Linked DNA regions of Stegostoma tigrinum. The protein of the gene in region 2 purifies or fractionates together with the protein of the main gene of each other region. This does not show direct contact. Links are inferred from orthologs where the notes say so. Each region holds a gene or a part of one and is shown on either strand. Other genes may lie near its edges.

What was found.
Region 1: the proteins of transcription factor Dp-1-like (region 2) and lethal(3)malignant brain tumor-like protein 2 purify together in Homo sapiens (affinity purification with mass spectrometry; 4 studies listed by BioGRID and IntAct, counting the BioPlex papers as one, with this or other methods). This does not show direct contact. The link is inferred for Stegostoma tigrinum from reciprocal best matches to the Homo sapiens genes TFDP1 and L3MBTL2.
Region 3: the proteins of transcription factor Dp-1-like (region 2) and e2f2 purify together in Homo sapiens (affinity purification with mass spectrometry; 3 studies listed by BioGRID and IntAct, with this or other methods). This does not show direct contact. The link is inferred for Stegostoma tigrinum from reciprocal best matches to the Homo sapiens genes TFDP1 and E2F2.
Region 4: the proteins of transcription factor Dp-1-like (region 2) and max purify together in Homo sapiens (affinity purification with mass spectrometry; 5 studies listed by BioGRID and IntAct, with this or other methods). This does not show direct contact. The link is inferred for Stegostoma tigrinum from reciprocal best matches to the Homo sapiens genes TFDP1 and MAX.

What each region holds. Positions count from the first base shown.
Region 1 is NC_081391.1:5,934,422-5,941,778, reverse strand, and holds the start of lethal(3)malignant brain tumor-like protein 2, read left to right. Parts: upstream 1-4,318; 5' UTR 4,319-4,403; intron 4,404-7,357. UniProt on the Homo sapiens protein: Putative Polycomb group (PcG) protein. PcG proteins maintain the transcriptionally repressive state of genes, probably via a modification of chromatin, rendering it heritably changed in its expressibility.
Region 2 is NC_081368.1:16,482,156-16,489,896, reverse strand, and holds the start of transcription factor Dp-1-like, read left to right. Parts: upstream 1-4,741; 5' UTR 4,742-5,231; intron 5,232-5,905; exon of another isoform or gene 5,906-5,925; intron 5,926-6,676; 5' UTR 6,677-6,755; coding exon 6,756-6,767; intron 6,768-7,741. UniProt on the Homo sapiens protein: Can stimulate E2F-dependent transcription.
Region 3 is NC_081377.1:29,050,825-29,058,276, reverse strand, and holds the start of e2f2 (transcription factor E2F2), read left to right. Parts: upstream 1-4,438; 5' UTR 4,439-4,726; coding exon 4,727-4,972; intron 4,973-7,452. UniProt on the Homo sapiens protein: Transcription activator that binds DNA cooperatively with DP proteins through the E2 recognition site, 5'-TTTC[CG]CGC-3' found in the promoter region of a number of genes whose products are involved in cell cycle regulation or in DNA replication.
Region 4 is NC_081363.1:71,192,901-71,199,978, forward strand, and holds the start of max (protein max), read left to right. Parts: upstream 1-4,043; 5' UTR 4,044-4,251; coding exon 4,252-4,287; intron 4,288-4,566; coding exon 4,567-4,593; intron 4,594-7,078. UniProt on the Homo sapiens protein: Transcription regulator. Forms a sequence-specific DNA-binding protein complex with MYC or MAD which recognizes the core sequence 5'-CAC[GA]TG-3'. The MYC:MAX complex is a transcriptional activator, whereas the MAD:MAX complex is a repressor.

The DNA.
Region 1 (7,357 bases), on a different chromosome or scaffold from region 2:
CTGCTTTGTCCTGGATGGTGTGGAGCTCCTTGGTTGTTGTTGGAGCTGTATCTATCCAGGCAAATGGGGAGCATTCCATCACACATAGTCCATCCTTTGACGTAGCCTTCTCCCTCTGAACAGGCAAATGATCAGCAGTCTAGGACTGAAGGGCAACCAAAAGCCCCCTTCAGGCCATACTCTTATCAGGAAAGTCAAAGGCCTAATGTCATTGACGAGTAATCCTGGATTGGGCTGATATTCTGGGGGTGTGAGAGTATGGCCCACCAAGGCAGTTGGTGATGTTTAAATTTGAAGTTATTAAAGTCATTAAACACTCAACTCAGTAATGGTGGTCACAGAGCTTTAAATTATCACATAAAAATCTGGTTCATTGAGAAGGAAGATTAATCTGCTGTCTTTATCTCATCAACCTATGTATGGTTCCAGGACCTCAGATATGTCATGGACATCTCCTCTGGAGTGATCGAGCAAGCCTCTGAGTTTGTAGGTTATTAAGAAAGGGCAACAAATGCTGATCTTGTGTGAAACACTCACACCCCATAAACGATTAAAATAGAACCCCACCATTTCCCACACAATTAAATTAAAGGAAGATGGTCGTAGTTGTTGGAGGGCAATCTTTTCCAACTCCAGGATGTCTCTGCAGGAGTTCCTCAGGGTGGTGTCCTAGGCCCAATCACCTCCAGCTGCTTCATCGATGACTTTCCCTCCATTGCAAAGTCAGAAGTGGGATGTTTGCCGATGATTGCATGACGTTCGGCACCATTCACGAGTTCTCAGAGACTGAAGCAATCCACATCCAAGTGTGGCATGATGTCAACAAGATCTAGGTTTGAGTTGTTAAAAGGCAAGCGAGGTCTGTGTCACACAAGTGTAAGGCAATGACCATTTTCAACAAGAGAGACTCCAACTATCTCCCTTTGACATTCAACACCACTGTCAACGTCCTTCGGGTTACCATTGACTTTTAACTGAACCGAAACAGGCATAAAAATTACCGTAACTCCCGCACATCCCAGATGTCCAAGTTTTTCGAGGACTGCAACTTTCCCCTCACAGTGGTCGAGAACGTCCTTGACAGTGTCTCCGGCAACACATCCTCACACCCCGCCCCCGCCACAACCGCCCAAAGAGGATCCCCCTCGTTCTCACATACCACCCTACCAACCTCCGGATACAACGCATCATCCTCCGCCATCTACAATCCGACCCCACCACCCGAGACATTTTTCCATCCCCACCCTTGTGTGCTTTCCAGAGAGACCACTCTCTCCATGACTCCCTTGTTCGCTCCACACTGCCCTCCAACCCCAGCACACCCGGCACCTTCCCCTGCAACTGCAGGAAATGCTACACTTGCCCCCACACCTCCTCCCTCACCCCTATCCCAGGCCCCAAGATGACTTTTCATATTAAGCAGAGGTTCACCTGCACATCTGCCAATGTGGTATACTGTATCCATTGTACCCGGTGTGGCTTCCACTACATTGGGGAAACCAAGCAGAGGCTTGGGGACCGCTTTGCAGAACACCTCCGCTCGGTTCTCAATAAACAACTGCCCTCCCAATCGCGAACCATTTCAACTCCCCCTCCCATTCTTTAGATGATGTGTCCATCATGGGCCTCCTGCAGTGCCACAATAATGCCACCTGAAGGTTGCAGGAATAGCAACTCATATTCCGCTTGGGAACCCTGCAGCCCAATGGAATCAATGTGGACTTCACCAGTTTCAAAATCTCCCCTTCCCCCACCGCATCCCAAAACCAGCCCAGCTCTTCCCCTCCACCCACTGCATCCCAAAACCAGTCCAACCTGTCTCTGCCTGCCTAACCTGTTCTTCCTCTCACCCATCCCATCCTCCCAACCCAAGCCGCACCTCCATCTCCTACCTACTAACCTCATCCCACCTCCTTGACCTGTCCGTCCTCCTTGGACTGACCTATCCCCTCCCTACCTCCCCACCTATACTCTCCTCTCCACCTATCTTCTTTTCTCTCCATCTTCAGTCCGCCTCCCCCTCTCTCCCTATTTATTCCAGAACCCTCACCCCATCCCCCTCTCTGATGATGGGTCTAGGCCCGAAACGTCAGCTTTTGTGCTCCTGAGATGCTGCTTGGCCTGCTGTGTTCATCCAGCTTCACACTTTATTATCTTGGATTCTCCAGCATCTGCAGTTCCCATTATCACTGTAACTATAAGAGCCAACCAAGGACAGGGAATCATGCAGTGAGTGACTCCCCAAAGTCTGCCCACCATCTGCAAGGGATAAGTTAGCAATGTTATGGAATGCTGTCCGCTTGGCTTCCAACTGGACAAGAACTTATGAATTAGGTGCAGGAGCAGGCCATTCAGCCCCTCGAGCCTGAATGTGATTTGCTAAGATTTATGGCTGATCTGACTGTGACCGCAATTCCACTTTTCTCCCTGCCCCTGACAAAGTCTGACTGCCAGGTTGTTTATAGTCCTCTGTCTGAAATGTATTCAGCAATCGGGCAACCATGAAACTCAACAACATCAAGGATAAAGGAGCCTACTTGATTGGCACCCTAGCCACCACCTTCAGCAATCATTCCTTTCACCACTGAAACTCAGTGGCAGCAGTGTGTGCCATCTACAAGATGCACTGCAGCAACTTGCCCTTTACTAGGGTGGCCAACTCTCAGGAAAGGGATAGAGGACACATTCACATCAGGGAACAATATGCCTGGAGTTGGGGTTTGTTGGAGGTGTTGGGGGGGTTGGGTGGTGTAAGTTGCTGATGTTGAGGGTTGGTAAGGGAAGGGCAGTTGTAGGGGATGGTGCTGAGTTAGTAAGTGCTGATGTGTAATCAGACATGTTGGGTGGGCTCTTGCAGACTGTCCTTACAAGCCAAGCCAACTCTTATGCCTTGGATTTGTGTCGTCATCCTGGACACCTGCTGAACACAAATTAGCAGCTTTTTAGAGGTCAACCATCTCAGCCAAAATAAATCACTGCAGGGCCCTTGACTTGGATTGATACCACTGTTCCTTGTTGCTAGGTCAAATTTCTGCAATTCTGTACATAATTTGGCTGATATTGGGCTTCAACTTCACTCTCCAATCCACACCCCAGAGACCTTGTTCTGTATTGTGGGTGTATCTGCATCACCTGGACTGCAGAAAGCGACTCACCACCACCTTCTCAAGGGTATATACCACATTGTCTGTACCTTGGGTAGCAAACAGTATCCATAACTGTAGTCATGGTGTTAACATCAAAGCTGAAGTGTTGCTGATGTAACAACAGTTACAGCCTCTGATGCATGTACAGATTTTCCTGTGAGTAAAGAACTCTTGCATGAAAAATACATGGATCCGTGCAGTGTATTATGGGATACTTATAGACATCCCCTAACCCTGACTACACAATAAACTACTGTGAATAATTAATTAAAGAAGAAAGTTATACAGGTCCACTTTCTGCAAATAAATTATGTACTGAGGAAAACTCAACATTGAGTCTAGTCCTGCTTGCTTTTAATCAGTAGGTGCTGCATATCATTCAAAATTATTAAGTTAGATGTTCAGAAGAGACCATTCAGCCTGTTGAGCCTTTTTCAGCATTCATTACAATCATGGCTGATATTGGGCTTCAACTTCACTCTCCAATCCATGCCCCAGAGACCTTGTTCCCTGAGACACCAAAAACTGTTATCCCAGCCTTAAATACATTCAACAATAGTTTCTGCATCCATCTGAGTAGGGAATTCAAAGATTGATAACCGTTCAGTGAATTAATTTCTCTTCATCTCAGTCCTAAATGATTGGCCCCTTAACCTGAGACTGTGCTTCTGTATTTTATTACTTCCAAGACCAGTGTAGACAATCTCAGACTCAACTCAATCGAGCCCTTACAGAATCTTAATCATTTCAATGTGAACTCTGAATGTGTGATTATTCAAATCTTTTTGGCATGAAATTTGCATTGCCATGTATTTTTATGTTGGCTTACTCAAAACACTTGATACTTTAGTTTACAGTGGAAAATGGTTAATTCAAAGCATTGGATAATTGAGTCTGTAGTAGAAAATGGCTATTTCAAAACATTGAATAATTTAGCTTGGAGCAGAAAATGGCTATTTCAGGACATTGGATAATTTAGTTTGGAGTAGAAAAACATTGGATAATTTAATTTGCGGTGGAAAACCTACACTGCCTGCAATTATCTGTGAGGGTTAAAAATTGTCCATTCATGCTGATGGACTACATCTCCCAGAGTGCTCGGTAGCGCCTACCCTGCTATTGTTCTTTCCATTGGTTGACGGGGGTTGCGGCCCCCTCCAATGAGCGAGCACGTTAAAGGAAATGATCCGGCCTGAAATGGCGGCGTTGTGTACCTGAATTCGAACATCAAGTTGCACAAAGAGGAGGAACAAGATTGTGAGTCTTTTGTGTTTTTGTTTGAAAGAAAGTGTGCTGAATTAATTATAAATAAGACAGTTTGTGCAATTTATGAGGTGAGCTTTAGGATGAGTAATGACTAAAAGTCCAGCTGCTTCAGACAAATGAAGCTGTTTTTGAAGTCGATGATACCTCAACCACAAATTGTAGAAACTAGGGTTTGTGTGTTTTTAATGTTTTCCCTTCTTGCCAATTTGTTTCCAGTTAGTAAAATTTGCAAGTAAACAGAGAGACATTGTTGCTAAGGCTGTGATATCCACGTGAGTGATAATCTTGGAGTTTTTTTAAAATGTTGCTAAAAGTCTGTGCTGTCAGGGTTCGATCTACAGGTTCAAGACAAAGCATCCGTCTCGTTACAATGTTATCAGATGCTGCACTGTTTAGTAATCTTAGGTCTGCAGTCCCTGGCGTTTGTTTTCAATGAGTAACAGTGAACTATGATTGCAACACATTGTCTAATTTACCCTGAAACCAATGCAGAAATTGCTGTATAACCCTTCTGAAAAAGGGTTACTGGATTCAGAACTTTGCTGCCTGCTTTCTGCCCCTATGTTGCCAACCCTGTTGAGTTTCTCTGTTTTTTTTTGTTTCAGAATTCCAACATCTGTAGTTTTTTTTTAATAGAATCCCTTCAGTGTGGAAGCAGGCAGTTTGGCTCATCAAGTCCACACTGACCCTCCAAAGAACTTGCTACCTGGACTGACATTCCCAACCCTATGCCTGTAGGTCTGCATATTCCATGGGTAATTTTTAGTATAGTTAATTTGCCTAACCTGCACTACTTTGGACTGTAGGAGGAAACAGGAGCACCCAGAGGAAATCCAAGCAGACATGGAGAGAATGTCCAAACTCCACCCAGTTGCCCAAGGATGGAATTGAACTCTGGTTTCTGGTGCTGTGAGGCAGCAATGCTAGCCATGGTGCTGCCCCCAATGTCAGCTTCCAATTTCTCTCCCACAGAGGCTGCCATGTACGGTCCTTGAGTTGTACAGCATGGAAACAGACCATAAGACATAGGAGTTGAAGTAAGGCCATTTGGCCCATCGAGTCCACTCCGCCATTTAATCATGGCTGATGGACATTTTAACTCCACTTCCCTGCACTCTCTCTGTGGCCCTTAATTCCTTGCAAGATCAAGAATTTATCAGTTTCTGTCTTGAAGATGTTTAACATCCCGGCTTCCACTGCGCTCTGTGGCAATGAATTCCATAGGCCCAGCACTCTGGCTGAAGAAATGTCTCCTCATTTCCGTTCTAAATTTACCCCCTCTAATTCTAAGGCTGTGCCTGCGGGTCTTAGTCTCCCTGCCTAATGGAAACAACTTCCCAGCATCCACTCTTTCTAAGCCATGCATTATCTTGTAAGATTCTATTAGATCTCTTCTCAACCTTCTCAACTGTAATGAATACAATCCCAGGATCCTTAGCCGTTCATCATACGTTAAACCTACCATTCCAGGGATTATCCGTGTGAATCTCCACTGGACACACTGCAGCGCCATTATGTCCTTCCTGAAGTGTGGGGCCCAAAATTGGACATGTTATTCTAAATGGGGCCTAACTAGGGCTTTATAAAGTTTCAGAAGCGCATCGCTGCTTTTATATTCCAACCCTGTTGAGATAAGTGACAACATTACATTCGCTTTCTTAATCACAGACTCTACCTGCAAGTTAACCTTTAGAGAATCCTGGACTAACACTCCCAGATCCCTTTGTACTTCAGCTTTATGAATGTTCTCACCATTTAGAAAATAGTCCATGCCTGTATTCTTTTTTCCAAAGTGCAGGACCTCACATTTGCTCACGTTGAATTTCATCAGCCATTTCCTGGACCACACTCAAACACAATGGGCCCTCACCTTACTCAGCAGCCTCCTGTGAGGCACCTGGTCAAAGGCTTTTTGAAAGTCTAGATAGATAACATCCACTGGGTTTCCCTGGTCTAACCTACTTGTTACCTCTTCAAAGAATTCTAACAGGTTTGTCAGGCACGACCTCCCCTTACTGAATCCATGTTGACTTGTTCTAATCTGACCCGGCACTTCCAAGAATTTAGAAATCTCATCCTTAATGACGGATTCTAGAATTTTACCAACGACTGACGTGAGGCTAATTGGCCTACAATTTTCTATCTTTTGCCTTGATCCTTTCTTTAACAAGGGGGTTACAATGATTTTCCAATGACTCCAGTGACTTTTGAAAGATCATAACCAAAGCCTCCGCTATTTTCTCAGCCACCTCCCTCAGACTCTAGGATGTAGCCCATCAGAGCCAAGAGATTTATCAATTTTTAGACCTTTTAGCTTTTCTAGCACTCTCTCTTTTGTAATGCCTACCATACTCAACTCTGCCCCCCCGACTCTCCTTAATTGTTGGCACACTACTCGTGTCTTTCACTGTGAATACTGACACAAAGTACTTAAGTTCTTCAGCTATTTCCTTATCTCCCATCACTAGCCTTCCAGCATCAGTCTGGAGCGGCCCAATGTCTACTTTTGCTTCTTGTTTGTTTCTTATGTATTGAAAGAAACTTTTACTATCATTTCTAATATTACTGGCTAGCCTACCTTCATATTTGATCCTCTCCTTCTTTATTGCTCTCTTTGTTATCCTCTGTTTGTTTTTGTAGCCTTCCCAATCTTCTGATTTCCCAGTGCTCTTGGCCACTTTATAGGCTGTCTCTTTTACTTTGATACATTTCCTGACTTCCTTTTGTCAGCCATGACTGTCTAATCCTACCCCAGATAATCTTTCTTTTCTTTGGGGTGAACCTCTGTACTGTGTCCTCAATTACACCCAGAAACTCATGCCATTGTTGCGCTACTGTCTTCCCTGCTAGGCTCTGCTTCCAGTCGATTTTTGTCAATTCTTCTCTCATGCCCCTGTAATTACCTTTATTTAACTGTAATACCATTACATCTGATTTTGCCTTCT
Region 2 (7,741 bases):
CACTGCATCCCTAAACCAGCCCAGTTCATCCCCTCCCCCCACTGCACCACACAACCAGCCCAGCTCTTCCCCCCCACCCACTGCATCCCAAAACCAGTCCAACCTGTCTCTGCCTCCCTAACCGGTTCTTCCTCTCACCCATCCCTTCCTCCCACCCCCAGCCGCACCCCCAGCTACCTACTAACCTCATCCCACCTCCTTGACCTGTCCGTCTTCCCTGGACTGACCTATCCCCTCCCTACCTCCCCACCTACACTCTCTCCACCTATCTTCTTTGCTCTCCATCTTCGGTCCGCCTCCCCCTCTCTCCCTATTTATTCCAGTTCCCTCCCCCCATCCCCCTCTCTGATGAAGGGTCTAGGCCCGAAACGTCAGCTTTTGTGCTCCTGAGATGCTGCTTGGCCTGCTGTGTTCATCCAGCCTCACATTTTATTATCTGTTCTGGGGCAAGTGTTTGAATTGATCATTAATGTTATAATTGGACACCTAAGACATTCAGGGAGTCTCAGCATAGTTTTGGGAAAGGGAAATCATGTTTAAGCAATTTTTAGATGTCTTTGGAGTAATGTGCAGCGGATAAAGTGCAGCCTATAGATGTAATGTAGTCAAATTCCCAGAAGTTATTTGATAAGATGCCACAAAGGTTATTACAAAAAACAAGCACAATGAGCTGGTGTGTTTGTGTGCACACAAGCAACATATTTGCTTGGTCGAAAGATGTTCTAAAAACAAAGAAAATGATGTAATTGGGAAGATGTGACAAGTGGACTCCTACAAGTGCCTATGCTGAAGTCTCAATATTTTACAATTCATACCCAAAATTCAGATGAGGACAGCAAAGACCATATTCACAGAAAATTGAGGATAAGCAGGAAAATATGTTGTGAAGACGACATAGTGGGCAAAATCTGGCAGATTGAGAAAAATGAGACACATGAAGTTGTTCACCTTAATAGCAAGAATATTATTTGAACAGCGAACAACGCAGGATCCCACACTGCAGAGGGATTTACGTGTTCTAGTGCATGAGGCACAAAATGTTAGCATGCAAGTACAGTAAACGATACAGGCACATGGTATTTTTTTTTGCAAGAGGAATTGAACATAACAGTAATGATGTTATGTTCAATTATATAGGACATTGGTGAAACCACATCTCAAGTATGTGTGCAGTTTATACCACCTCAGTTAAGGAGGGATGTAAAGATGATTCAGAGTTAGTTCGTTAGACTGACACCTTGAGTGAATAGATGGTCTTATGGATAGGCTAGACAGGCTACATTTGTTTCCATTGGAGTTAAGAAGCACGAGGGATAATTTGATTGCAGTATATAGATTTCCTAACCTTGGTGACTTTCACATGGCTTAAGAACATTCACGCATGAATTGGCTAGAAGGCCTGTAAATAGTCAAACAATGAAGTTGCTTTCTTGCCTAAATGAAAGGCTCACGTTCTTAGGACACCAAGTGTGCTTTTATCATTCTGTGTGATTTTCAACTTTTTGGATGTCATTTCACAGATTTTGAATCAGTCACCTTGATCTCCCTTCCCTTCTGTCAGCCTTCACGGCAGCATGGGAGCAGTCTTTTTTATAACTCTAATGAGCAACAACATCGGCAACAACTGTTGTGCCTTCACTTCAACAGCATGCCACTTCCCAGGATAGAGGAGATGGATGCAAAATTCTACCTCTCAAGAGTCTAGATCCGTCGCACAGGGTTTACTGGCAAAGGATCAATTTTCTCAGTAGACAGCAAATGTGCTTCAGGAGGCTCAGGCTTTTGTGACGGGTCATTGCTGACATCTACAGCCTTCTGGAAACGACCTGCTTCGCAGTAAACTAGGGGGCTACATACTGTCAGTGGAAGTCAAAGTCACTATGTCCCTGGATTTCTATGACCCATGATTCAGAGTTGTCCAACACAGAAAAAGTCTCTTCGGTCCAACTTATCCATGCTGACCGGATATCCTAAATTAAATTTAGTCCCATCTGCTAGTACCATATCCCTCTAAACCCTTCCTATGCATACACCCATCGAGATGACTTTTAAATGCTGTAATTGTACCAGCTTCCACCACTTCCTCTGGCAGCTCATTCCACACATGCACCACCCTGTGTGAAAAAGTTACCCCTTTGGGCCCTTAAAAATCTTTCCTTTCTCACCTTAAATCTATGCCCTCTAGTTTCAGACTCTCCAAGCCTGGGGAAAAGACCTTGGCTATTCACCCTATCCAAGCTCCTCATGATTTTATAAACTTCCACATGGTCACTTCACAACTTCCAACCCTCTGGGGAGAACAGCCCCAACCTACTCAGCCTCCTCCCTATTGTTCAAACCCTCCAATCCCAGCAACATCCTTATAAATATTTTCTGAGACCTTTCAAGTTTCACAACATCCTTCCTTTATCAGCGAGATCAGAATCTCACAATTAGCTGCCCATAAATGCATCTACCAAGTAACCAAAACCAAGCTGGTCAGGACTGCATTTATTTTTATGTTGCTACCAACAAAGCCAATCATAACCAGATGTCTTTTGCTTCTCCATTGGTGCAGGAGTTAGAGATTGCACACATAGCAATTTAGGTAGCCTCAGATCAAGGCAGCAATCTTTTGACGATTTGAAGGTTTTCACTTCAGTGTTCCAAATTTGATGTGTAATTCAGCTCACCGGACAGATCTGGAGGATCTTTCGATCTTCCACTTGTAGCAACAAGGCTGTCTAAAATAGGGAGGGTCCGCTTTGGCTTGCGAAAACATCACACGGCAAAGAGAACTGAAGCTGCAGGAACAGGAAGGTGAAGACAATGGTAAACTAAGTATGCAAACCATTAGTTAGGGCAAGCACATACACTGTTCACTGACTTGCCTGATCCTCCAAACAGGTAGCCATTCTTTCCGTAAAGTTTTGAATATCAATTTAATGGTGCTAATGTTTAAGACCAAAACTTCCAATCTTTCTCCAGGATGCAATATGTCTCTGAAAATGTACATAGAATCTCACATTTTCAGCTGTTGTTCCAGAATAGTTCCCTTTACTATTCACTGCCAAGCCTCAGCATTTGCTTAATGATAATTATCACATGGCCATTTACAGGATTTCATTTTTGCTTTTTAAATATTTATGAGATGCAAATGTCACTGGTAAGGACATTTCTCATCTTTAGAGGGTGTTGGTAACCTTGAATCACTGCATTCTACACAGTGTCAGTACACCAACTGTTAGAGAGGTAGATCCAGTGTTCTGGGCTACTGACAGTGAAGGAATGTCAATATATAGTTCCAAATCAGGAACAGTGAGAGACTTGGAAGACAACTTGCAGATTGTAGTGTGCCCAAAATTCTACTGCCCTTATCCTTCCAGGTGTTATAGTTTAGGGGTTTGGATGTTGCTGGAAACCTGATGTTTTGCACTTTGTACACTGGGCACACAGCTCTCACCATGCACTGGTACTACAGTCAGTAAATATTCAAGGTAGTGAATGGGTTGTCATACAAGCAGACTTGCTTTATCCAGGATGCTGATAAGCTTGTTCAGTATTCAGGGAGGTCACTTACCAGAGAAGAGTTTTACATCACACTCTTCACTTGTTATTTAAGATGGGAGTCAAATTTTGGGAATTGAACTAAATAGCACAGAGTGCCTAACATCTGATCTGCTCTTGTAGCCACAGTATTTAAATGGCTGGTTCAGTTAAGTTTCTGCTCAATAAGTCCCAGAATGTTGACAGGAGGGAAATTCTGTGATTGTAATGCCAGGACTTCACTCCATCCGTTAAGGGTCAAATGCTGACTTGATGGTCCAATTTTGTAAGGGCTCTCTTTACCAGACTTCTATACTGTACCAAAATTCTCTTTAGTACCAATTTTCCAGGGCTCCAATTAGTTAAAACTGGAATGAAAACAAAAATTGTCGGCAAAACTCAGCCGGTCTGGCAGCATCTGTACAGAGAGAGAAAAAAAAAACGAGGTAACGTTTCTAATTCAGGGCCTTGTTTCACTCATTCGATTTATGGCTCACCTGCCCTGTAGAGATCGCGTCTTAGTCTGACGCTCCAGAATGATAGAACCCCTAATGTGAGGAAGCAGGGCATTCGGCCCATCGAGCCCAGTCCGAAGAACACCCCGTCCAGACCACAGCCATGTCCAGTGCAGACTAACGGGAGACATTTAGTCGCGCTCCATACCCAGGAGCGGTCCGCACAACCATGATGAAACAGTTGCCTAAGCTAGGCGCATGGCTGTGGCTGTACCCGAAGAATTACAAAGCATTCTTCTTCATTAGGCTGTAGCTACCAACGAATGCCATCTTACCTGACCTGAAAGGCTGAATTGACAACCACATCCCTCAAATACTCGAACAAACTCTTGCTCTCCGGTCACGTCCAACACATTTTCAAAAACAACAGCTACAGGGAAAGCGCACGCTGGCTGAGCCTCCACCAATCGCCAGCCTCGATGGATGAGAAGGCCGGAGGCTTATTTCGTAAAAACGAATCCGATTGGGCGAAGGGCAGACCCCGATGGGGGCGACGGCTGTCCGCCCTCGGAGGGCCAACCGCGTGGGGCCGGAGACTTCGCGGTGGGAGGGGGAGGGAGAAGAGAGGGGGAAGGCTCGTTGAATAGACCAATGGGGCAGAGTCATGGAGGCGGGGCCGAGCGAGGAGCCAATGGAGGAGCGGCGCGAGCCGGACACCGCCAAGATCGGTTGAGGATGAAAACAGTTGTGAGCGACTGTAGGCAGCTTCATTTTGGCCGGAGCGGCGCGTCGGTTGGTGGGGAGGGAGACGGGGCGGCAGTGCGTTTGAAAGCCTATCTTATCCTACCCTAGGACCATCTAAACACCCTAAACTGCTATCCTCCTCCTCTTTTACCCACCCTGCGCACTAGTTGCGATTAAAAAAAAACTGACAGAAACAAAAAAAACTAAACCCTTCCCGCCTCTCAGAGAATAATGACAATGTAATTCCAGTGGATTGGAGCTGAGTTTTATATTAATTTTTGAATCTATTCCCCTGATGTGTCTGGTGCTGGCCGAGAAGCGGCGATTTGCTTCATTTCTCTCACTCACCCCTATCCCCCGCCATCCCCTTCTTTATTTGGTAATCGCTGTTATATTTATTTTAAATTTCTCTTCTTCACATTACTCCCCTTTCACCCCCCCTGGAAAGAGGAAAAAAATTGAGAAAGCGCCGCCTGTGGAGTCGACAGATTGATATGTGTTGAAAAGGTATCATTGCTTCACCTCGGTCTTTTTTTTTCTTAAGAAAATAGGGAAAGGAATATGTGATCGGCTTAATTTTAGCCTCAAACTAAGCTTTTCTCAAGTTTCTTGTCTAGATTTTGTCTCGGTGATGTTCCTGGAAATGAGTTAAAATGACTGAAGTGTTTTTGTTGTTGCTGCTTCGTTTTCTCTTTGACACGAATTAAGGAAGGAGAGGCCTGGTGGTGTGGGGAGGGAGAATTGTATTTTTTTTAAGCTGTAATCTTGCAGCACTGCTATGAGTCCCATCTGCTGTTGCTTTGGCTTCAGGTTGTTTACAGTAAGAGAGCCCCTGGCTTCAAGGCCTATAGGCTCCTGATGAGGAGGGGAGGGGAGAGTGCCGAGGTTGGAGGTGTCCCAAGTTGAAGTGGAGTGGGTATAGGGGGAATTGCAAAAACGGCCCGAATTGTTTAAACGTATGAATTTTGCTAGGCTTTCAATTTTAAAAGAAAATTTGAATCGCCTCCCAATATAACACCAGAGTATGTAAGACATCAGCACGAAAGACAAAAGCAATTGCAAGCTAATTTATCTAAAACTTTTTTTCGTCCAAACTTCTTGACGTTGTAAATGTGCATAGTTTTTATATCTGTATGTATAATCTTGAAGGAACTACACCTTTTGAGCATATATATTGATGAAAGGGATAAGCTCTCTCAAGGTTTGTTTCGAGCATGCTTTCAAAGTAAAAAGTGTAATCTTTAAATGCTTGATTTTCTGATCGTTAACAGGACGGTGAATATAGAGTATGGAAGGCACTGATCTTTAGAACGGGATTTGAAAAATAGCGATTATTAAATGTATTTGTATTTCATATTCGTGTATCTGGTGGATAGGCCATGAGGCCTGGCGGGGCCTTTTTGCTAACTGATCTGCAGGAAACCGGTTGTGTTAACGTCCTGTCTTAATGTATTCTGATACCGTTTTAGGATTTGACCTTAGTTTGCAAAAGTAATAATGTTGATCAGGTTTTGGTGTAGGTTTTAAACTAAAGTAAACTGCAGATTGTTTGATCAGATTTTACACAATTTGCCTAGTTGCTTCTGGAGGACTAGGCCCCAACAATCTGTTTCAGTAATTTACAAATTAAGTTTTGCTTGTATGCAATTACCAAGTTTCTTTGATTTTTTTTCATTGCCTAAAGTATTTTCATTTGTAATGTTTTCAAATATTTGAACAAACGTTTAAAATGACCTAAAAGCTGCAGAATATAATAGGCAATTGACTGAATAAATAAAGATAATAGCAGTATTTCTGCTATGTAATGTAACTTTAAAAGTGACAAGCCAAATAATCGTTGAAGTTCTGAAAAGTTAAATGAAGGCATAAGTTAATTAGCTGTTATATTTTGGAACTTGTGCATTAAAGAAGTTTACTCAAAAAATTATTCAATTTCACTCTTTTACATTTAGGTGCCGTCACATTGGAATCCTGCATGTTTAATTTTGGCAACTGAAGTATCCAAAATTCAGCAATAAAAGTACCATTAACATGGCCAAAGATGTAAGTCTTTTATTTTTGCCAAAAATAAAGCCTTAATTGTGAAATTATATGCAACATTACTCTGTAACATTAGCTAGCATTTTTGTATTAATCCAAAGATGCCCTTGGCCTTATTTGCTTTTAAGGAATAGAAGACGGTTTGCACTTTTATAGTATATCTCATATTGCAAGTTGTTAGGAATCCACTAAAATACTGTGTCCAATTATGTGCATTTATATCAGCGAACATGGTAGCCAAGATCTACAAACATCATGAGTTGAACAACTGCTCGGTCATATTGCATGTTGTGTATGTGGATTATTGAACAGCATAAAAAGAAGGCTCCTTCAAGTGGTGTCATTGTGTTTCAGCTGTTCTTCAGGTACACACGTCTGGATCCGTCAACTGGCAGAAGTCATGGAATCTTCTTGCCCACTTGAGTGGATAAATGGGTTAATGTCCCATCAAAAAAACAGAAATTCTGCAATGTGGTGCAACTGTCTTTACAATACGTTGAAAGATATACCCACACTACATCAGGCATATCTTACTCTAGCTTAAGTGCAGCATTCTTACACTTTCAACATCAAAACACATTGTAAGGTTTAATCCTCAGTTTACTTCTTGCTCCTGTGATCATAAGCCTTTAGACTTGTTTTTTGATACACTCTACTCTGTAATTCTTGCTGTTCTTACAATCAGTATATTTCCCTGTATATGGCCCTTCACCATCTTTTAGCCATTTAAGACGGACAATTCTACATCATTATGCACAAACCATTTGCTGTATTGTTGCATCAGAAATTATAACTAATTTAACAACAGAGATTTTTGAGTATTTTGGCCAACAAATATCAGCAGTTTGATTTTATTATCCTCCCAAAAAGAGGGTGTGAGTGACGATAAATATCTTCTCTATCCCCACAGGAGAAAAGTCCAACTAGTTTATTAGCTAGCTGCTGATTATGTACTTCAATTAATTGTTCTTAGAAAT
Region 3 (7,452 bases), on a different chromosome or scaffold from region 2:
TGAATAAATTCAAGGCTGACTTAGGCAGATTTTTATTCTGCAGTGGAGTTAGGGTTGTGTGGGATGGCAGGAAAGTGGATTTAAGGCCACGATCCATTCAGCCATCATTTTATTGAACGGTGATGAGAGCTTGAGGGCTGAATGGCTCACTATTGCTCCATTTTCTTATGATCTTATGTCTATCAGCTGTTGAAGGCACTCAAAAAATAATCTAATTTAAATATAAAAGGTTTTGTCACAAATGCAGTTGGCAACATTTTTTAGTGGATCATTAAACTTGTTATTATCCGTCTATGTTTCCAGAGGCTTGGTAAAAAGATAAAAAAATTATGTTACCAGGACAACACTGCTCCCACTAGGGAGGATTTGCGTTTGTTCAAAAAATTGTCAAAGTACTTTAATTAGTCACTTTGTTATGTAGTTATTAATCTTATGCAGCCACTTTTGCAGACAGCAAGATTCCAAACAATAACGAAATGAACGATGCTTTAGTTTTTTTTAATGTAGAACTTTACCATGTAGATGCAGACCATGCAACCAACCTATGCCAATGTTTAGACTCCACATGAGATTCTACCTCATCCATTATCCATGTGTTGTTATACAGCTTTCTCCCTTATCTAGTTCCACTTTAATGCATCAGGGCAGTTTGTCACAATTACTTCACCTGGTACTCCATATTCTCTCAGAGTAAAGTAGTTACTCCCGAATTCCAGAGGGCAGGTAGCAGTCAACCACATTGCTGTGGGTCTGGAGTCACATAGAGTCCAGACTAGGTAAGGATGGCAGTTTCCTTCCCTAAAGGAAGGACATTAGAGAGCCTGATGGGTTTTTTTTTTCCTGGCAATCAACAATGTTTCATGGTTATCATTAGACTCTTAATTCTAGATTTTTGTTGAATTCAAATTCCGCCATCAACAATGGCGAGATTCAAGTCTAGCTCCCCAAAATATTGCTTCGGTCTCTGAATTAACAGTCTAGCATTAATACCACCTCCCCATATAGGATGCATACATTTATAATTATCCCACCAAACCCTACTTCTAATTTTAAAGACTTCTATCAGGTCAATCTTCAGCTGTCTGCTTACTCTGGTAAAATAAGCCCAACTTTTTCTTGTAATTATGTGAACAGAGTTCTTAAGTCAGCCTTGGAAATAATTTTTCCGCATTCTCTGGTGACTTCAGAGCCTTTTCATAATACCGGTACACACTCCCAAATTTAGCAACCTTGGGACTCAATCTGTGCCAGTCTTTGGAACATGGCAGTCTTCAGAGAGATGATAAACTGGAATTCACTAGTTCAGATTGGAACACTTTAATATGGTAAGTACAGCCTGAAGGGAAACCAACTGATATGACTGCCAAGCACTAAGTTAATATCATGTGCCTGGTGATATTAATTCACCTCTCATGCATCGGATTTAATATCTCTTTCATGCTTTCCCGCTTCGCTATGTCAGTACAACTGGTTAAATTGAGAAAAAAAATCAATTTTAAAAAAAGCCTGCACTTCAGAAAATGCTGGTTTTGGGGTAGCTAGATTTGGAGTGTTTACCTATAAAGGTCAGAACTATGCACAGTACTCCAACAGAGGTCTAATCTAAGTTGTACACAAGTTTAAAATAACACAATATCTTTCCAATCAATTCTATCCCTCTAGAAATTAATCTCAGTGCTCTGGCCTCATTAACCTGCATTGTTATTTTTAGTGATGTGTGCATCTATATCCCTAGAGCTCCTTGCTCCTCTCATTTTGACTCTAATTTTACCCGTTTATTAATGTTCACTACCTCACACTTACCTATACTTAAACAAATCAGTTCTCTTCTGACCTGCTTCATTCACCCTGTATTCCCACCACAGGCAGATGGATGAACTAAGCGCATGGTTTTGGAAATGGCTGTAATCTCAGGAAACTCCACCTCACAACAATTTCTTCACCAAGCCATGTGCAGATTCTGTTCTGCCAGTATGATGTGTGACATACTGATGGAGGAAGTATTTCTCTGCTCCCTAGTTACTTAAAAAAGTTCAGCGTTTTTTTTAATGATTCTGGGCAAAGTGATTCACTTCCTTTGGTACTCATCTCTTCATTAGAGACAAATGAATTGCACTTAGACTGCACTTACCGAGTGGAGTGAAACTGGAAAAAATTTGTGGCTGGGGACGGGTAGCAGGTGTCGAGAAATAGATATTTTTACAACCATTTCTGCAATGTTTGAGTGACAGTGACCTCTGAGACCTCACGCTGTAATGGATGGGCAAAAGTAAGTTTCCTCATGCTTCCAAACAGTTAAAACATGATTGTTAACATTACTCTGATTATTATGAAGTTAGTTTTGAGGTCCAGTTTCCTTTCCATTTTCCCTGCTTTCTCTCTCTCTCACACTTAGTTTGCCACTCTCTCTGTCTCTCCTGTTCTCTCGAGTCCTTTTGTTCATCTGTTTCTACTCACTTATTCCTCTCCTCTTTGTTCATGGTTTCCTCCCAATGTGAAAAGGTGTTTTCTTTCTTCAGTTTCCAACACCAAGGCACAATTGCAGTTTGTTCCTACATCAACAGCCTTCTATTGCTTGAACTCTTCCTGAATCCGACAAAGACTTGGGTTGGGGTTCCCCCTGGGACACCGCTGATCTCGGCTGCAATGGCTTTGGGAAAGTTACAATTGGCCACAATTCCTCTGGGTTAAGGCAAAGGTAAATCAGCCAGCTCCCTGTCGCTGCTCATTATCCAAACACCATGTCATTGAAAGTGCTTTTGTGTGTTGACACTGCATGCTGAAAGGGTGCAAGATTAGCAATAGCAGTTTGCATTTTTTTGAAAAAAATGACCTTGCATTCATATAGCGCCTTTCCCAACCTCAGGACACCATGCAATATCTAATGGCCAAATTTTCGATAAAATAGAATCACATCAGTTTGAGGAGGTAGCTCGCCACTACCTTTTTCAGGGCAATTAACAATGGACAATGAATGTTGGCCTAGCCAGCGGTGCCCACATCACAGGGTCGAATAAAGAAGAATGCAGTAGCCAACCTGTGCATAACAAGATCCCACAATGTGGTCAAAACCAGATATTCTACATTATAATGATGTTTGTTGAGGATGGAGTACTGATCAGGACCCTGGGATGATCTCCCCTGTTCCTCCTTAAGACAATGATGAACAGTCCTTGACAGGAAAGAGGCTGAATCAATTGAACATTGCATTCAAAAGGAAGCACCTTGAACAGTGCAGGACTCCTACAGTTCCCCAGTGGGAATAATGGTCTGGATTACACACTCAAGTCTCCAGATGAGTTTTTAACTCTCAGTCTTGTGTGGTTAGATAACTCACTGCTGTGTCACTTAAACAGCAAACTGCATTTTGGGAGTGGATCATAGAATCCGACAATCACACAGCACAGAAACGGCTTTCGGTCCAACTTGCCATGCTGAACACATATCCTAAATTAAGCCAGTCCCAAATGCTAGCATTGTGCTCATATCCCTCTAAACCTTTCCTATTCACATACCCATCCAGATGCCTTTCAAATGTTGGAATTGTACCAGCCTCCATCACTTCCTCTCACAGCACATTCCTCCCACAGTCATTCATGCATCACCCTCTGCACGAACAAGTTGCCCCTTGGGTCCATTTTAAATCTTTCCCTCTCACCTTAAACCTATGTCCTCTCATTTCGGGCTCCCCTACCCTGGGGAAAAAAGGTCCTTGGCCAGTCACCCTATCCATGCCCCTCATTATTTTATAAACCTCCATAAGGTCATTCCCTCAGCCTCCGCCCCTTCAGGGAAAATAGCCCTGCCTATTCAACCTCTCCCTATAACTGAAACCTTCCAAGCCTCGCAACATCCTTATAACTCTTATCTTCACCCTTTCAAGTTTAACAACATCTTTCTTATAGCAGGGAGACCAGAATTTGAATGTAGTATTCCAAAAGTGCCCCAACAATACCCTTTACAACTGCAACATGACTTCCCAACTCCTATACTCAATGCTCTGATCCAATAAAGACAGGTGTAACAACGGTCTTCTGCACGACCAGGCAGAGAAAGAGAACATCATGCCAAATAATGTAGGTGGCAATGCAGCTTAATAAAGGCAATGTAATGCAAGGAAAAGAAATATAAATTGTTTTCATGAAACCATCATTAATTGTGTCTTTACACAGACTCACTCTCTCACGGCTGCGAAGTATTAAAACAGTCAGGATGCTGTGCAAGCCTCAGCTGGAGTCAGGCTTTTTAAAAAGTCTGTGCTACTCCTGTCGCTTTAAGAAACCAGTTTGAGCGCTGTGATTGGCTACCGTTGCATGTATCCTGGTCAGTTAACCACCAATCAGCGACGGGTATTTGCAACAGATGGCGGGAAATATGAATTTCGCGGCACAGGCTTTGGCGCCAGAGGCTGAGTTTCAGAGTCTGTGAATTAGGCTGCATTCAGGAGCTAGTACAGTTTCTGCAGCCATTTTTCCCCTCTGAATCAGAGGGGACCTTTTACAATCCATTGCATCCTGCTGCATCCAAAGCAACGTTAGCTGTGAGACCCCGTGCAGTTTAATCTCGGGACTCTGCTAATCATTTATATGCCTGCATTTGTTGACTCTGTCTTTTATTTTGTGTTCAAATCCCGGTTTGAAGTTAACCATTTTGTTTTGCCCCTCTCTCTCTCTCTCGTTGCAAACAAAAGGGGGAGAGTGGGGGAAAGATTGCAGCCTTGCCAAAAATGCCAAAGGGAGTTTCCCCAGCCCCAGGCAGGGGAATTATTGGGGCAGTGACTGGTTCCCAGAAAAAGCTAATCAATGTGGAAAATGGGAATACCGGGCTATGTAGCCCCCAGATCCCCACCATCCCTGCCAGTTATTTCACCCAAATTGCAGGAGCAGTATATTCTGATCACAGTGATTGCCTGTATGCAACCCCTCAAGGACCTGAAGTTAGAACAATAAGGACTAGCACAGGGCGCCTGCCGGTAAGTGTAATTTTATAATTTATACATTCATTTTGAAATAATCGCGCGTTTATACTTGGTGTATTTTGCTCAGTTCCTGCAGTTATCAGGACACTGCATTAATAATCATTCAGGGAAATTTACTTAGCTCTTAGTAACATGTTTTACAAAAATGCAGCATTGATAAATTAACCCTACTTTTGTGTATGCGTTTGTGGGATGGGGGTGGGGGTGGGGGGCATGTGGAGTGTGAAGACAGGTTTCGCTTTTTGCTGTGTAACTGGATCTATTGTGATAGAGAAAATGCTCAGATGGCTGTTTACTGTAACTCTAGGCTGCCTTAATTTTTTCATTTATTTCAGGACGATTTAAAAGTTTCTCAAGCCTCCCGATTTATCATCAAAACACGTTGACAATTTTCTTAGGTGATCAAACTGTCACTGAAATTTTGCTGGGCTTGCCTTGGGTTGGCTCTAAAGTTGAGGACATTCTCAATATAATATCTTTTCAATCAAGAGGTGTCAACTTTTTGGAGGGTGCTTCCTTGTATGAAATTCAAATGAAAATGAAAGTAACCAGCCTTTGGCACTTTATTGGCACCAAGCCTTTAACCTCAATATTTTTACTGGAGGGTGGGGAAGGATGTTTAATGCCAATTCTATAGTGTAGGCAGCTTGGGGTTCAAAGGTAAAAATGGAACTGACAGTAGAATCCCCAGCAGAAAAATGTAAAAAATGAAAATGTAATGATTTCAAACTGCAGGGAAATGTTGCTGCTGAACTTTCTTTTTGACCCTCTTCTTTGTGGGAATAGGGCTGTTTCAATTTTTAAATATTGATCTTCTGTGGCTTAATACTTAGATCTAATCTTGTCTCTGTATAGCACCCACCCCTCCCCTCTTGAATTTATTCAAAAGCCCCACTCGGCATCTTTTGAGAATGAGGCAATATTAACGCAAGACAATGCTCACCTGTGGCACCTTGTTTATTACTGACCTCATCGAAGTTTCTTCTCATGGACCAGGGAGCTTGTAAAGCACAGATGATGTTACAGTACCCAAAAACACAGTTTTTAAATACTTACTTTGGTCGTGGCCTACTTTTTTGTGGGGGATGGGGAAGGAGTTTCTTATTGACTGAACTGTTTTTCCGAGGACGGACTCTAGTAGCAGAAGTTTAGTTTTCCAGTATGCAGGGGAATTAATTTACAAGGTGTATTTGTCATCTCTTGCATGCTGTATAAACATTGCTCTTTTGATTCATTGCTCTTGCTCCTTTTGGGCTGGAGTTCTTGTTCAGCTGCTCGCTCCATTGCCTCTGACAGAGAGAGCAGGGAATGCCATTTAGTCCTCTGATTCTTATCTTTGCCCCAAATATTTATTTATACACCAAAGATATCAACAATTGGGAGTCTTTGAGGACACGCTGGAGCTTTCAGAAAGCTAGGCAGGGGTATTTAATTGGAGGCAAAAATTCAGTTTCTTGATAGGTTAAGGTTTTGCAATCAATTTCTGAGGAACTTTCAGATGGGTAAGGTTTCCTAATCCTCATTGAGCACCATTTCTGTACTCATTAGCATGTCATGTTTGTTGTTAACCCACTGGAATTGCATTAATAGGCCCAATCCCATTATCCAAAATGGCAAGATCATGTACTTGCAGATATTCTTGTGTATTCACAGAAAAGCACACAAGCCAGTGCCAGCCAGCGTAGACTGTGCCCTCCGTACTCTGGACAGTATGTATAAACTTCACCAACTTGATTCCCTTTTAATCAAGCTGTTACTTTGCTCAAATGTTTAACGGGTGAAGCCTGACCTGCTCATTCAACTCACTATAAGTCTGCCATATGCAATCTGCCACCTTTTTGTAGTTAAACACTTGAGAAGGGTGAAGCATCTCCATGTTCAGTGGCTCAAGAGAAGTCTTGGCCTTGTGCAGTCTGTTAAGTGTTAACAAGTCAATGTTAGGGTTGAACACTGGACCATCCATCAAGCCTGCCCACACATGGCAGCCAGATTGCCTGATGCCAGCAAACCTGATTGGGGCGGTCAAATGAAGCTTGACTCCCTGGGGCCAGCTTTTGTGCTTGTACCCTTGTTCCATACAAGCCATTGCTGAAAACAATCAGATGTGCATGTTATCAAGTTGTGATGGAAGGTCAGTGAGCTGATGGTGTGTGAGCTGCTGAGTGTTGTAACTCCTTCACTATTTTGCATATGAACCCTCCCAGTTGTGTGGGAGCCAGTAGTACTACGGTATGCAATGCTGCCTTGGTAGCTGGCATTAAGTGACAGACATTGATGGCCCGTGAGGCATCCAGTGGAGTTGCTTGGTTGCCAACCCTCGTATTGCTATCCTCTGTAGAGGCAACCTTACGGTGCTAACTCTCACTCAGAGGGATGTCAAGTGGTACGTACTGAGGTAGAAGGCAGAAGTTATTTAGTCTTCTGGCACTGGAGCTGGGTTCTCTTGAGCTGCCCATAGGCACTGTCTTCATAGC
Region 4 (7,078 bases), on a different chromosome or scaffold from region 2:
TCTCCGCGAATCCCTTGTCTGCTCCACACTGCCCTCCAACCCCACCACACCCGGCACCTTCCTCTGCAACCGCAAGAAGTGCTACACTTGCCCCCACTCCTCCTCCCTCACCCCTATCCCAGGCCCCAAGATGACCTTCCATATTAAGTAGATGTTCACCTGCACATCTGCCAATGTGGTATATTGTATCCATTGTACCCGGTGTGGCTTCCTCTACATTGGGGAAACCAAGTGGAGTCTTGAGGACTGCTTTGCAGAACACCTCCGCTCGGTTCGCAACAAACAACTGCACCTCCCAGTCGCGAACCATTTTAACTCCCCCTCCCATTCCTCAGACGACATGTCCATCATGGGCCTCCTGCAGTGCCACAATGACGCCACCCGAAAGTTGCAAGAACAGCAACTCATATTCCGCTTGGGAACCCTGCAGTCCAACGGTATCAATGTGGACTTCACAAGCTTCAAAATTTCCCCTTCCCCCACTGCATCACAAAAGCAGCCCAGCTCGTCCCCTTCGCCCACTGCATCACAAAACCAGCCCAGCCTGTCTCCACTTCCCTAACCTGTTCTTCCTCTCACCCATCCCTTCCCTCCCACCTCATGCCGCACCTCCATTTCCTACTTACCACCTCATCCCGCCTCCTTGACCTGTCCGTCTTCCCTGGACTGACCTATCCCCTCCCTACCTCCTCACCACATATCTTCTTTTCTCTCCATCTTCAGTCCGCCTCCCCCCTCTCCCTAATTATTCCAGTTCCCTCTCCCCGTCCCCCTCTCTGATGAAGGGTCTAGGCCTGAAACGTCAGCTTTTGTGCTCCTGAGATGCTGCTTGGCTTGCTGTGTTCATCCAGCTCCACACTTTGTTATCTTTGATGAACTGCACACCATTCAAATGGCCAACAAACATATAACCCATCTTGGTCCTGTTCTTTAACTCTTAAACGGACAACTCACACAGTTCCAAAGATCACTCCAAAACGCTCCTTAAAATGTCACAGTATTAGCATTATTGCTCCCAATTATTCAGAAAGTTCACGCCTTCTACATCAAGCTACATCACACATCAAGTCCCAAAGCCTTAAAGAAGCAGAACGAAATGGATATATTCTCTCCCTGTGGGACAACCTGTGGAGATTGATCCTGAGAGTTTCTAAGGCATGTTCGAGCGATTCGACAAAGACTTGAAGTGAGGGATGTGTGATTTCTGAAGAAGGGTCTAGGCCCGAAGCGTCAGCCTTCCTATTCCTCTGATGCTACTCGGCCTGCTGTGTTCATCCAGCTCTACACCTTAGAACATAGAAAAGTACAGCACAGTACAGGCCCTTTAGCCCACAATGTTGTGGCGTGGAATATTCCTAATCCAAAACTAAAATAGCCTAACCTACATTCCCCTCAATTCACTGCTGTCCATGTGCATGTCCAGCAGTTGCTTAAATGTCACTAATGACTCCGCTTCCAAGACTACCACTGGTAAACTATTCCATGCGCTCACAACTCTCTGGGTGAAGAACCTCCCTCTGACGTCTCCTCTATACCTTCCTCCTAACACCTTAAAACTATGACCCCTCATGGCAGTCAATCCTGCCCTGGGGAAAAGTCTCTGGCTATCGACTCTATCCATGCCTCTCATTACCTTGTACACCTCGATCAGGTCACCTCTCTTCCTCCTTCTCTCCAGAGAGAAAAGTCTGAGCTCAGTCAACCTCTCCTCGTAAGACAAGACCTCCAGTCCAGGCAGCATCCTGGCAAACCTCCTTTGCACCCTCTCCAAAGCCTCCACATCCTTCCTATAATAGGGCGACCAGAACTGGACACAATATTCCAAATGTGGTCTCACCAGGGTTTTGGAGCTGGCAGCTCTTAAACTCGATCCCCCTGTTAATGAAAGCCAAAACACCATATGCTTTCTGAACAACCTTATCCACCTGGGTGGCAACTTTGAGGGAGCTATGCACTTGAACACCAAGATCCCACTGTTCCTCCACACTGCTGAGAATCGTGCCTTTAATTCTATATTCAGCATTTAAGTTCGACCTTCCAAAATGCATCACCTCACATTTATCCAGGTTGAACTCCATCTGCCATTTCTCAGCACAGCTCTGCATTCTGTCAATGTCGCGCTGAAGCCTGCAATAGCCCTCGATACTACTAACGGCACCTCCAACCTTTGTGTCATCAGCAAACATACTAACCCACCTCTCAACCTCCTCATCCAAGTCATTTATAAAAACTACAAAGAGCAGAGGCCCAAGAACAGAGCCCTGTGGGACACCACTCAGCACTGATCTCCTGGCAGAATATTTACCATCTACAACCACTCTCTGCCTCCTGTCAGCCAACCAATTCTGAATCCAGACAGCCAAATCACCCTGTATCCCAGACCTCCTGACTTTATGAATGAGCCTGCTGTGGGGAACCTTACCAAATGCCTTGCTGAAGTCCATGCACACCACATCCACTGCTCGACCCTCGTCAACCTGTCTCATGACTTTCTCCAAGAACTCAAGATTTGTAAGGCATGGCCTGCCCCTCACAAAGCCATGCTGACTCCCTTTAATCACGCTATGCTTTTCCAATAGTCATAAATCCTATCCCTCAGAGTTCTTTCCAAAACCTTGCTGACCACAGACGTAAGACTGACTGGTCTATAATTTCCAGGGATTTCCCTATTCCCTTTCTTGAAAAGAGGAACAACATTTGCCTCCCTCCAATCTTCCGGTACGACTCCCGTGGAGAGTGAGGAAGCAAAGATCTTCGCCAGCAGCTTAGCAACCTCCTTTCTCCCTTCCCGGAGCAACCTAGGATAAATCTGGTCTGGCCCTGGGGACTTATCAATCTTAGTGTTTGCCAAAATTTCCAGCACATCAACTTCCTGTTGTACCAGGAAATGTACCACAATTTACTTTATACTCTTCCTTTCTGTTTTTCACACCAAAGTGTATACTTTGTGTATACATTTAGCCACATTGTAATGCATTTGGCAGTGTTTTGATCACTTAACTTGTTTAAACTTGTTTAACTTGAAGCCTTTTTGCATCTTCTTCACAAATCTTACCAAGCTTTGTGATGTCAGCAAACTTAAAAACATTGTACCTGGCCCTGGGTATTTATGTATATTGCAAATAGCTGACGGTTAAGCACTGATCTTTGTGATAACCTTCTAGCCACTGTCATCTATTTGAGAAAAGACCCATTTACCCTCATTCTATTTCCTGTCTGTCTACCAATCTGGAATCCATGCCAATATATTGACCCATAGCATGTGTTTTAACTTAGCCCACTAACCTCTTATGAGGATCCTTATTAAGTTGTTATCTCAGATTCTCCAGTATCTGCAGTTCCTACTATCTCTGGTGAGGGAGTTGGTCATCAAAGAGCTGGTAACATTGTGACTCAACGAGATAACCTGTAAACTTTAGATATTCTAACATCGTCTCATACGAATTGTTTGTGAAATAAAGTTGTAGATGCAAAGGAATTTGGACATCCACACAATATCGCTTTGTGTGGGTGCTTTCATCTTCACTCTGAGTCCGAAGAAAATTGTTTTGCCCGTTGCCAAGTCAAACATCCTACTCTCTCCACGTACTTTCCCCACTGCCATGTTGCCCTCCTCCTTTCGGCCGCTATAACTCTCAGGAAGAGTCGGCCGGGAAACAGGGAGGGGTGAGGGGAACTACAATTCCCGTCGTGCCCCGCGTCCAAGGGTGGTCGGACGACTTCCGGCCATCTCTCCCATCCAGCTAAGTGGGGAGCTGGATGAACACAGCAGGCCAAGCAGCATCTCAGGAGCTTTTGTGCTCCTGAGATGCTGCTTGGCCTGCTGTGTTCATCCAGCTCCACACTTTGTTATCTTGGATTCTCCAGCATCTGCAGTTCCCATTACCTCTTCCATCCAGCTGACGGGTGGAACTCAGTCGGTGGTGGGGCCGGGGATTATGGGAAAGGTAGTCCAGGCGCCCAGAGCGGATAGTGGACGCCAATTGTGAAAGGTACTACATCCCCCAGCGGCACCAGCCCAGCCGCCCATGCGCAGTGGGGGCGAGGTTGATGTAGGGGAGCCGTGGCCTGTCGGGCGGAGCTGCTCCCGGAGTCACGAGTGATTTTTGCTGTTGGTTTCTCCCTTCACAGTTGTGTGTTTTGTTTTTGTTTTGTGTACGTTCTGACATTAATTTACTATTTCTGTGAAAGTTTAATTTCCGTTTTTGCGATCTCTTTTTTTTTGGGTTTATTTTTAAATTAAAAAAAAGCATGAGCGATAACGATGACATCGAGGTCGAAAGCGACGTAAGTCTCGCCTGGTGCCTTCTATTATTGTTATTTTTGTTTCGAAATTTTGCTTGATTTTTCAGTTTCGTTTGTGTTTCGAAAATAATAATAAAACGTTTTTAACGTGTTGGGAGTTGTTTCCACCTGATTGTGAAAAAAAAATAATTTTTCCCCTTTTTTCTCTGTAGTTACGGATTTTCCCCCTTTTCTCTCTCTCTCTCTCTTTCTGTCGATTTTTTTTGTAAAGCGCCAACTCTCCGGCTGTGTGATCATTTTGTGCACTTGTCTGTTTTTCAGGAAGAACAGCCGAGGTTTCAGACAGCGGTACGTAACGGAGGATTAACATAGACCCCGTCTCGTCGCCTTGATTTTTCTTTAAAAAAAAATAAATCTTATTTATATACTTAAATAATCTTTAAACTTATTTTACCATCCCCTAAACGTAATTTACTTCGTGTAATCAAAGAAAAAACAAATCAAATTAATCTTAAAAGCCTGGATTATTATTTTTAACCTGATAGTTGCTGGGGATGTGGCTTCAAGCTGCTGTCCCAGTATCCTCCCTCTTTTATTTGGATTACCTTTTCAGAATATTATTGCAACCTTTATTTTTAAAGTAAGATGTCCCGAAACTTAACTTTACTGCTGATGTTTGTATATTTTAAAAAAATCGATTCCCGCCCGTCGCCTGAGTCTGGTCAAATGGCCAGCTCAAGGCGTTTAGAGCTTGAGTGATAGATAGTGTCTAGGTTAGAGACATTACAAAAGGCCCAGTAGCCCAGTCGTGCAGAATGCCCTTTAATGTGGTTCCTTAACCCTCGCTGTCTTAGGAATTCTTCTCCTCCATCTCTTGCTTGCCGATTTTCTATCTTCGTTTCACTTTTGGAGATTTTCATTCCTTCCCCTTTCCCTGTGCAATGTTTTCAAAAACAATTCATTTTGCCCACAAGCCTCAGCGCGTCCTATTTACATCCATTCCACTCTTGTACTGAAGCCAAACAAATAGATTCGCTCGAAATCGCTGGCATCTTATCTTTTTTGTTCCAGTATGTTTTTTTTATCCCTCTTCTTTTCCCCTGATTCACCCAATCTTCGCGTTTCGCGTGAAAGTGTGTCCGATCCATCGGAAACCTGCACTAATGGGAGCATTTAACACATTCGTCGTGAGCTGTTTTTCTCCCTCCCTTCCTCTTTTGTAGATGTGTAAACGTGTTTGATACAGCGGCTTCGGACGACCGGCTGCTGAAAGCAATTCTTATTCGTCGTTTTCGAGAAACTTTTTTTTCCCCTCTCTCCGCCTATTAATAACAAAATGTAAATAGTTAAGATACTTGTACGGGTTTTTTTTGGTTGTATGCATAACACAAAATGGACTCCAGGAAGTGTGTGTGTAATCATTGATCAGGTAGAATGATGCCTTTAAAAAGCCAACTGAACACTTAGTTATGTGCCATATTTAAATATTTTAAAAAAATTGAAAGTATAAGTTTTTAGGATCCCGTGAGAAATTTTACTTTTCTTGTGATGAGCAGCCAGGATGCCAAATACTCCACTGGTGGGCTGAAACCCTAATATTTGGTTGACATTCAGATCCTTAGGCCCAGACATTTTTGTTTATTGTCCATTACAGGGCACCTAGAATGTATTGCCTCAATAGGTGACACTTAGATTCCTCTATTTGTCTCCTGTGAAGTAAGCACAGAGCAACAATGGCCCTGAAAGTTGTGGAGGAATCTGTGACCTATTTGACTGACCTCCAACATTTAGTGTTGAGGTGAGACTTTTTAAACAGAATGATGACACAAATATTACCAATTATTACCTTGACCACAATTGAGTTACCTTCTTAATTGAAACCAACATTCAGTAAAGAAAAAAATAGGCACATAGTTCTTGACCTGTGGAAGATAAATGAGGATGAGCCTTACAGATGTTATGAATAACATCACTGAGAATAGAATGATTATTAGGGACTAAATGTATTTAGCAACTTGTTTTTGTGCTTGTAGACTTCCTAGCTGTGCAGGTTTTGGAGGGAAGCACTGCAGGGGCACTAAATCTAATGTATGTGTGTTGCTGTTGGACTGTAAATTAATTGCAGGTGCTCCTCTCACTTTTTTTACATTTGAAATTCAGTAAAATTGCTTTTTTTAATGCAAATCCCAGATGTGTTTATTGGGTAAATTCCTAACTGTTTATTAAGTTCCAATACTTTGAACAAAATCTATCAGAAAAATGCAGTTAACCAGTTTTCCAGTTTGTGGGAGTTTCAGTTGCAACACAGTTTTGTTTGCAAGCCAGATAATTATCTGTTATTTCAGCAAGAAATCTGCAAGCATTGATTGTTGCCCAAAATTTGCAAAAAAAAAAGAGTATTTGGTTTGCCAATGCTTTCTCACAATTGCACTATTCCTAACTGGTCAGGCTAATACATGGCAATAGTCACCTGTGGCTCCAAGCTTTAACTTCCTGTGTAATATGGTAGTTTGGTAAGAAATTAAACTATGGAAATTTTTTGTATAGAATTTGCTCCAATTTTTCGGCACTGTTTTTGAGGTGTTATTCAGTGTGCCTCACCTGATAATGTTAGAGCTGACATTACAAGCAGATGTGCAAAGTTGCCTCAAGATGATTGCGACTGTTTTTTTATCTTGTGGAATGCGGTATATGTCCTTTTCACTAATTATCTAATTTGGTGAGGCACATTCAGGAGTTTGAAGGAAGGAATGTGAAGTCAGACTTGTACTTGGTTATCTGCGGTTATTTTTCCTAAATGATGTGTGTACATGACTTGCGTGCTAAGCACAAT